Linked DNA regions of Oryctolagus cuniculus. Each later gene encodes a partner of the first gene's protein in a complex. Links are inferred from orthologs where the notes say so. Each region holds a gene or a part of one and is shown on either strand. Other genes may lie near its edges.

What was found. The genes of interacting proteins can lie anywhere in the genome.
Region 2: the proteins of CLTC (region 1) and CLTB are in contact, whole or in part, in a cryo-EM structure (PDB 6SCT), measured with the Sus scrofa proteins. The link is inferred for Oryctolagus cuniculus from reciprocal best matches to the Homo sapiens genes CLTC and CLTB. Residues at the interface, in NP_001139599.1 of Sus scrofa: Gln1291, Arg1293, Gly1294, Phe1296, Lys1326, Phe1327, Gln1354, Ala1355, His1356, Pro1382, Thr1383, Glu1413, Phe1414, Lys1415, Pro1416, Leu1417, Gln1444, Pro1446, Leu1447, Thr1473, Glu1474, Glu1475, Glu1503, Leu1504, Ile1505, Arg1508, Leu1533, Lys1535, Met1538, Lys1562; in XP_005661527.2 of Sus scrofa: Pro100, Ser102, Trp106, Gln110, Leu114, Ser121, Thr124, Glu125, Trp128, Arg129, Ala132, Asp135, Leu136, Trp139, Val147, Asn150, Lys151, Asn154, Arg155, Asp158, Tyr162, Glu191, Trp192, Lys194, Val195, Leu198, Cys199, Asp200, Phe201, Cys209.

The regions. Positions count from the first base shown.
Region 1 is NC_091448.1:34,910,020-34,913,760, reverse strand, and holds the start of CLTC (clathrin heavy chain 1), read right to left. Parts: upstream 2,298-3,741; 5' UTR 1,826-2,297; coding exon 1,784-1,825; intron 1-1,783. UniProt on the Homo sapiens protein: Clathrin is the major protein of the polyhedral coat of coated pits and vesicles. Two different adapter protein complexes link the clathrin lattice either to the plasma membrane or to the trans-Golgi network.
Region 2 is NC_091437.1:62,417,871-62,421,611, reverse strand, and holds the start of CLTB (clathrin light chain B), read left to right. Parts: upstream 1-1,112; 5' UTR 1,113-1,276; coding exon 1,277-1,454; intron 1,455-3,741. UniProt on the Homo sapiens protein: Clathrin is the major protein of the polyhedral coat of coated pits and vesicles.

The sequences.
Region 1 (3,741 bases):
AAATAAACAGCAGCCACACCAGCTTCTCTTGGGTTATCATTACAAACATTTGTCTGCAGAAAGATATTTCAGATGTACTTTAGTGCGAGGAAGAGCCTGGGTTTCCCCTTCTCATGCAAGAACAGTACTTTCCTAATCCTCCACACTCATTTACCACCCCTTTTTTAACAGAGGTAATCACAGTAATTAAACTTGGATGGAGCACAAAAAATAACTTTTTCCAAGCCCGTTCTGTCACACCTAACATGTGTTAACCTTTCATAAAACTGTTTTTATAGCCAAGGTATATTCCATTACTTTACATGAGTTTTGGGTGACTGAACAAAGCTGTACTACTTAACTTACTTAATGGGTTAAAGATTTAGCATTCTTTACATTTCAAACCTTAAAGGAAAATAATGTCTTGCTAGTGCAAGCAAATGTGATGCCTGTAAAGAAATATGTAATTATTTTACTCGTAGCCTGAATATTAACTGTTCTATTGACAAGACTCTTTCTTTTGTTACACCAATGGGGGAAAGTACATAAAACTTCCTTGCGTGGAAAAGTATCCCATAGGTTACCAGAACCAGTCTCATTTTAAACCACTGCATCCTCGGATTAGGAAGTGAGTCCTGCCGTAGATGGCCCTGGGGCAGGCTTCTTTAAGGGGACATACGGGAAGAAACCAAGTTAATTTATTATTCCTGATGAGAATCCAGGATTGGTGAACCAGGGACATCAGAAGCTCAAAAAGAGGCCTAATTCAGCGAAGCCCTTCAATGATCACCTGCCTAGGCTAGCCATTGGCAAGCTGCCCAAAGAGACAACCGTAAGAATGTTGCCTCCAGGGTAAGGCACTTACGGAAGAACTCTAGAATCTACCAAGAAGAAACGAGTTACAGACCAACTCAGGGCAGGTGTGTCCTTAACCCCGGGCCTCTGTTCCATTCCATGCGATCCTGTCGGAGGCACTCAAGCCACACATTTCACAACCACCGGATGGACTCCTGAGGACCCCCCCCCCCCCAGATAACCTCTAGGTAACACTTTGCTACGTTCTGAACTCAAAAGGATTTAAGAGCCACACCACCCCCAAAGAAATCAAGAAAGGAAAACCAAGCGAGTTCCCCAGGGACCTTGACCCCACGCACTCTAAGACTGACCGCGCCCTGAAAACTGCGTCCCCCCATTCTATTCCTTCAGTGACCTTCTGTTCCTACTGCCTCGGGGAAGGCAAGGGACAAGCCACGGCCGCCACCCCCACCCCCCGCCCCCGGAAAGGTGCCTTTCTCAGTTGAGAGCCGCAGAGGGAGGAAGAAAAAAAGGTTGCTCCTCCCCAACTCACCCGCCCCGCAACTCCCGGGTGCAGACACGATGGGGGGAAAGGGAAGAGATGGGCAGTGGAGGGTGACAGCCCTGCACTGGCCCAGGGGATGATGAGAATGCTTGCTCCGGCCGGAAGAAACTCGGGAGAATTCCCCTCTCCCACTCCCCTATCCAAATGAATGAACTGAATAAAACGGGAAGGGGAGGGGGGATAACACGCGCAGTTCTTGCCTTCCAGGAAGCAAGACAGAAAGGCCCTCAGAGTCAGGCCTGGCTTGCCGGCCTTTACACCCCAACTCTCGTCCTTTCCACCCAAGCCCCATATCCTTTAACCCTTTAAGCTTTCCAAGATAGCGCCCCTTCCTCCACCTACGCCAAACACCGACACCCCTCCCTTCCTGCTCCGGCCCAGACCGTAGCTTCTTCCTTCCTACCACCGTCACCACAGCCCGCAGCAGCCCAGATCTAGCCGCACCTGGAGATGCTCCTGAAAACGAATTGGAAGAATCTGGGCCATGGCGCTGTCGGGGGGTAGAGTCTCCTCCTGTCACTGGGGCTTCGGGGCAGTGGCTGCCCGGGCTCTCCGAAGGGAGAGGAGGAGAAGGGGAGGGGGGAGGCTGGGCTCGGCAGGATACTCTCCGGGGACGCAGGAAACTGGCAGGCAGACGAGAGAGCTCGGGTCGGGGGCGGAGGCTCCAGGGGCCAGGAGAGCCGCAATGGCGGAACCGGGCGCAGCGCAGACTCCGGAAACGGCTGAGCCCTGCGGAAGGATCCCGGCGACAAAACTCCGCCCCGTCGCCTCACCCCCCCTCCGCCTTATGTACCCCTCCACGGAGCGCCGCGCCGCGGCCAGGCGCAGGGATTCGGGGCGCAGTGCGCTGGGGGCCTCGCTTCCTGATGCGACACCGGGGAAATAGAGGAACAGCAGGGACTACTTTTCTAGACTCATCACTTTCTCCAGGCTTCTGCTTTTCCCTCCCCCCCTTCCTTTTTTTTTTTTTTTGCATTTTGCCACATCATGCGACTCGGGGCGACCTACGTCATTTCCGTAGGCGCTTTGGGTCCCACCCACGTACTTCCAGGTGCACGTGATGCTGGTAGGGAAGGGTCGGCTGACGCTGCCAGAATGGGGCGCAAGTTCTAGGAGAATGCGGCGTCTCCTGGGAGTGAGGTGCCCGTTGGGCCACCTTGAGGCGCGGCGGCTGCCGTTTCTTTGCCCCTGCGTCCCCTGTTTGGACCGCGTCCCTGGCGGAGAGGACGTGGCGTGGGCACACGGGACCAGCCGCCCGCCCGCCCGGTGACTCGGCGAAACGGCGCCGCCGCTGCGCTCGCCGGCAGCTGGCTGCAGCCCGCCTCCCCCGCCCGCCTTGAGGCGGTGGGCGGCTGCTCCCCGCCCGGGGAGGGGGCGCAGAGGCCGCGTCGGAAGCCCTCGCCGCCCTTGCGCGCTGCCTGCTGACGGGGGGCGACCCCGAGGCGCGCACTCCTGACTGGAAGCGGCGCTCGCGTCAGGTGTTCCTTAGGCCCAAGGACAGTGAGGGCCGAGTGTGAGATGCCTCAGGCTCGCCTGTTCTCGCCACTTCTGCGGACATTTTGGCGGACTCGGATCGGCCTAGCTTACTACTCCGTGTATGTGGTGCTAGAGAATTTGCGTTCTCATACATAACCCTGAAGGGTTCGAGCAGAACTGGAGCAGGACATTGTAGCCACGGCAAATACTTCGTCTCAAAGATTTAGCTAATTCCGCCCCGAGTGGTCGGTAAAACCTGAAGGTCCTCCCCGGAGGACGAGGATTAAGTGTTAGCCGCGTCTCTCGGAGCGATCGCCTCGCCCTTGCCTGGCAGGTTAGCAGAGGGGGACAGGAGCGCTTGGAAGCCCGAGCACCGTGTCTTCTGACAGCTTTAAGGTATCTGCGGCATTCATTATCGACTGACAACCGAAGTCTAAGCTGCAACAGTTCAGCCCCAGTACAATAAAGAAGAGTTTAGTCCCGTGCTTTCCATCTTTAAAGAGATGCGATTTTTCCCCCCTCAGAAAGACCTTGAGAAAAATACTCAAGTCCACGATAATTATTTGTTGTGCCCTTTTCGATTAAGGAACACACAGCCCTATCGGGTGCGGAATTTTTTGTGTGTGAAGCAGTTTTTGCCTAGAGTGAGAAATGTGCTTAATCATTTCAGTTGCTTTCGTGCTTTTCCCAAAATACTGCCTCCCATGCTGAGGCTAGAATCTGGCAGGTAACAGGGCAGCCAGAAATCGTTCTGCAAAGAATAAGCCTTTGCCACCATGTTGTAAGAGGGGCTTCCTATGCTTGAAAATTTTCCTCTTGTATTAAGCCAGATACTTGATTCTGCAGCATTTGAATAGCAGTCTCATTGTAGCTGCTTCAAACCCTTTTTGGAAAGAGACAAATTCTAAAAAATTCTAAAGGAGTTA
Region 2 (3,741 bases), on another chromosome or scaffold:
GCCAGGTAGGAAAGCCAGGAGCCTGACTTCCACATGAGGGGCAGGGAGCCCACTTTCCTAGGCTCCACCTTCCCAGGGAGCTGGATTGGATGTGGGGCAGCCAGTACGAGAACCAGCGGTTTAACTGCGTTGCCATAAGGTAGGCTCTTGGCCTCATGGTTAAGCTGCTGCCTGAGATGTCTCCATCCCACATTGGAGTGCCTGGATTCAGGTCCTAGCTCTTCCGGGGTTCCAACTTCCCGCCGTGTGCACCCGAAAGGAAGCAAGTGATGGCTGAAGTAGCTGGGTCCTTGCCATCCACCTGCATTGGGTTCCCCTGCTCCTGGCTTCTGCCTGCCCCTTGCCTGCTGTTGCATTTGGGGAGTGAACCAGCTGATGAGAGATTTCCCGCTCTCTGTGGTTTTCAATTTAATAACAATGATGATGATAATGATGATGATGTTGATGATGATAAACAACCGAAATTCCATGGTGCTGCTCTGGTCTCCCAAAGTCTTGTGTTTAAAAGTCTGCCTGCTTTGCCGTGAGTCCGTCTGGCTAGCCTGGGATCGCCCTGGTACCTGGCAAAGCAGAGGTAGAGAGGTGACATTCAGGGACAGATTACCGAGCGTGGCCCAGTAGCCTGCCTGGATAAATTAAGTGTGCCTTTCTCCAGCACTTCTTACCCAAAGGCCGTCGAAGGGGCCGCGCTGGTCCTAAGAGCGGGCGCCTCCTCCAAGGAAGAGACACGGAGGGCAAAAGCACGAAAGCGACACGGCCGTGCTGGGAGCGACGCGGCGAAGGCTTTGCCAGCCTCCTTCCCAACCTCCAGGCGCAGGTGGTAGGGTTCCCAACACCGACCCCGCCGAGGCTAGAGGGCTTTGGCCGAACGAGTCCTGAGCGAACTCTGCGCAGGCCGGCCGCGGCCCAGCGCGCCCTGCGGCCACTTTGCGCCGTGCGCCCCGCCGACCGACCCCACCAGAGCGAAACGCGCTCGCGGCCGGCCGAGGAGCCAGGAGCCAGCCCGCCGGGCCCCCAGGCGCTCCGGCGCCGTTCTGCTGCCGCCCTCCTGTGGCCGTCGCGAGGCGACCTCCGGGCCGTCCCGGGCCCCCTCCCTCGGCCGGTGACATCACCACATTCCCGCTCCCGGCTCCTCCCGCCGCGGCGCCTGCAGCCGCAGTGACAGGCGCGCCGGGCCCGGTGGCGGAGAGAGGAAGTCGGGGCCGCCGCGCCGAGGCCGGTCCCGCGGTGGCTCGGGTGACAGCGCCAGGTACGGTTGCAGCAGGCACCGGGGAAGATGGCTGAGGACTTCGGCTTCTTCCCGCCGTCCGAGAGCGGGGCGGCTGAGGAGGACCCGGCGGCCGCCTTCCTGGCTCAGCAGGAGAGCGAGATCGCGGGCATCGAGAACGACGAAGGCTTTGCCGCACCTGCCGCCGGCCAGGTGGCCGCGGCGCCGCCGGGACCCGCGAGCGGGGGTGAGTCAGCGCCAGGGCCCGGGAGCTGGGGGCTTGGGGCTGGCCCCCGGGGGCCCCTGGCCTAGGGCCCCTGCCGTGCAGTGAAGCGGGCCTGCGGTAGGCCCGCCAGGGGCCGGCCGGGGGCCGTGCGTGGGTAGGGAGCGGGCCTGCGGGAAGTGGGCAGGCATTTCCCTGGAGGTCCTCACGCAAGACCTCAGGGAGGGGCAGGAGCTGAGCGCTCTCCCGGGACTGTGGGTCGGGTCTGGTGACTCTCAGAATCCGGCATGACATTTCACCCCCCAGGCCAGCTTCGCCGCCAGGCCTGGCTCTGGAATCCAGTTCCTCCCGAGCCTTCTAATGGCCTGGCCGTCCCAGGCTCCCCGGTGAGTGGTGCAGATGTGGGCGGAACCAAGCCACCTCCTGGCCCTTCAGCATAGCTCTGGCCCACAGCGGGGGAAGCCAGGGACACTAGTACTCCAGGAACTCGCAAACCTCCTCCGCCACCCTACAGTCCCTGGGGGCGGACAGGGCAGTCCCGGTGAATCATCTCGCAGGCACTGCTGAGCCCATTTCCGAGCCAGCTACACGGAGGCGCGCTATTGAAATGACTAAGAAGTGGCAGATGAAGAATTTGAATCTGTTTCTGTCACACTCCAAAGCCTCTCCAGCCGACCCTGCTGTCCCCAATGTGCACCCCCTGGGGTTGGGGCAGGGGCACCCCTCAGCTTTTTCCTGCCCTTCAGGAATGAGTACTGGCAGTCCAGAGCTGCTGTGGTTGGCTCTGGGGCCTGGACCCTGGGGTATAGTATTTATCATTGGTGTTCTTGCTCTGATTTTAGTTTGAAATTTTTTTTTCTCAAAAAACTGAATAAGAAAGTAGATGGCATCTTTGTGAATACATCCAAAACATACGTTGCTTCTGCTAAAGCTGTCTTTCTGCAGGAGTTTGTGGGGCTGTTGGGATAAGTGCTCACATGGATCCCTACATGCAGCGGCTTTCAAAAAGTTGGTGGAAAATGGAATTTAAAGAAAAGAGTTTTTTGGTGCAGAAAAAAAAAACTGAAATCCAGCCATAGAATTTTCATAATACGCATTTTCCACCAACTTTTTGAAGACCCCTCATATGCATGCATTTCACATTTTTTTGCACCCAAATAAACATTTCTTTGAAATTTCTGCAGTATTCTCATATATAATGTTTACAAAGCTCTTTACAGTAATATGTGTGATTATTTGACTGTTTGCTGAACACCTAGTGTGTGCCAGTCCTGCCCCCACCATCCCAAACCTGGGGGATGTAGAACTAGGCAGTTTCTGTGACCCAGGAATTAGAAGCAACCCTTAGGCCTCCATGTAAGAAATGTAACAAATCTTTTGTAACACGTGAGGCACTGGAGATCTCGAGAGCCTGCCTCTCTTGCCAAAGCTGGGCTGCTTACCTCTGGGCTCCATGCTGTGGCAACCTCCCTGGGAGACCAAGAGATGTGGAAATACCATGGGCAGGTGTTTCCTTACCTGAGCATGCCAGCCTCAGAGGTCTTCGGAAGCAGCAACTCCCAGCACCTCAAGTTCATGAGCCAAACATTCATTTATCCAGCCTCCTCCCTGATGAGCCCATTCCTTTCCCCCAGTCTGGCTCAGCCCTGAGAGGCCCTGCTGGGCCCAGCAGTTGTCAGAGAGAGAAGGGCAGGTGGGATGCAGGCCCAGGGCAGCCAGAGGCACGGGAGAGTTGAGGAGGTTGCAGCCTCTCCCAGAACAGTGGGGCTCCACCGACCTGCAGGCCTGGGGTACCGACTGGCCCCAGATCCAAGGTGACAGGGAAAGAAACAACCAGGGACTTACAGGGAGCTGCTGGGGACACAGCCCTCGGGCAAGCAGGCTCACCCACTGAGGCTGCCTTCCTGGGTGGCTATGGGGATGGCGGTGGTGGGCAGCTCAGCGGGCGGCTTCACTGGGGAGAATTGATCTGGCCCCTCTAAGCGCAGGCAGCACGGAACAGACAATCCTCCCCAGACCTGAGATGAGGCCAGGGCGCCTGGATGGGGCAGGGGAGGGTCTGGGCCTCCCCGGAGCTGAGCGGAAGCTGGCTCCAGCCTCAGCAGCTGCCACTTAACACCTCTGCCCCGCCTTCTCTTAGATGAGGGGGTCGCTGTCTGAGCAGTGCCACTGTTGTGTGCTCTGATGTTGGGCTTCCAGTGCCCCTGGGGACAGAGGTGTCTGGGGTGGGCCTGCGCCCTGAATTGAGTCTCTGCTGGGGATGGGGCGGGTGGGGCTGAATCTGTAGCCAGCCTGAGCACCGGACACTTTG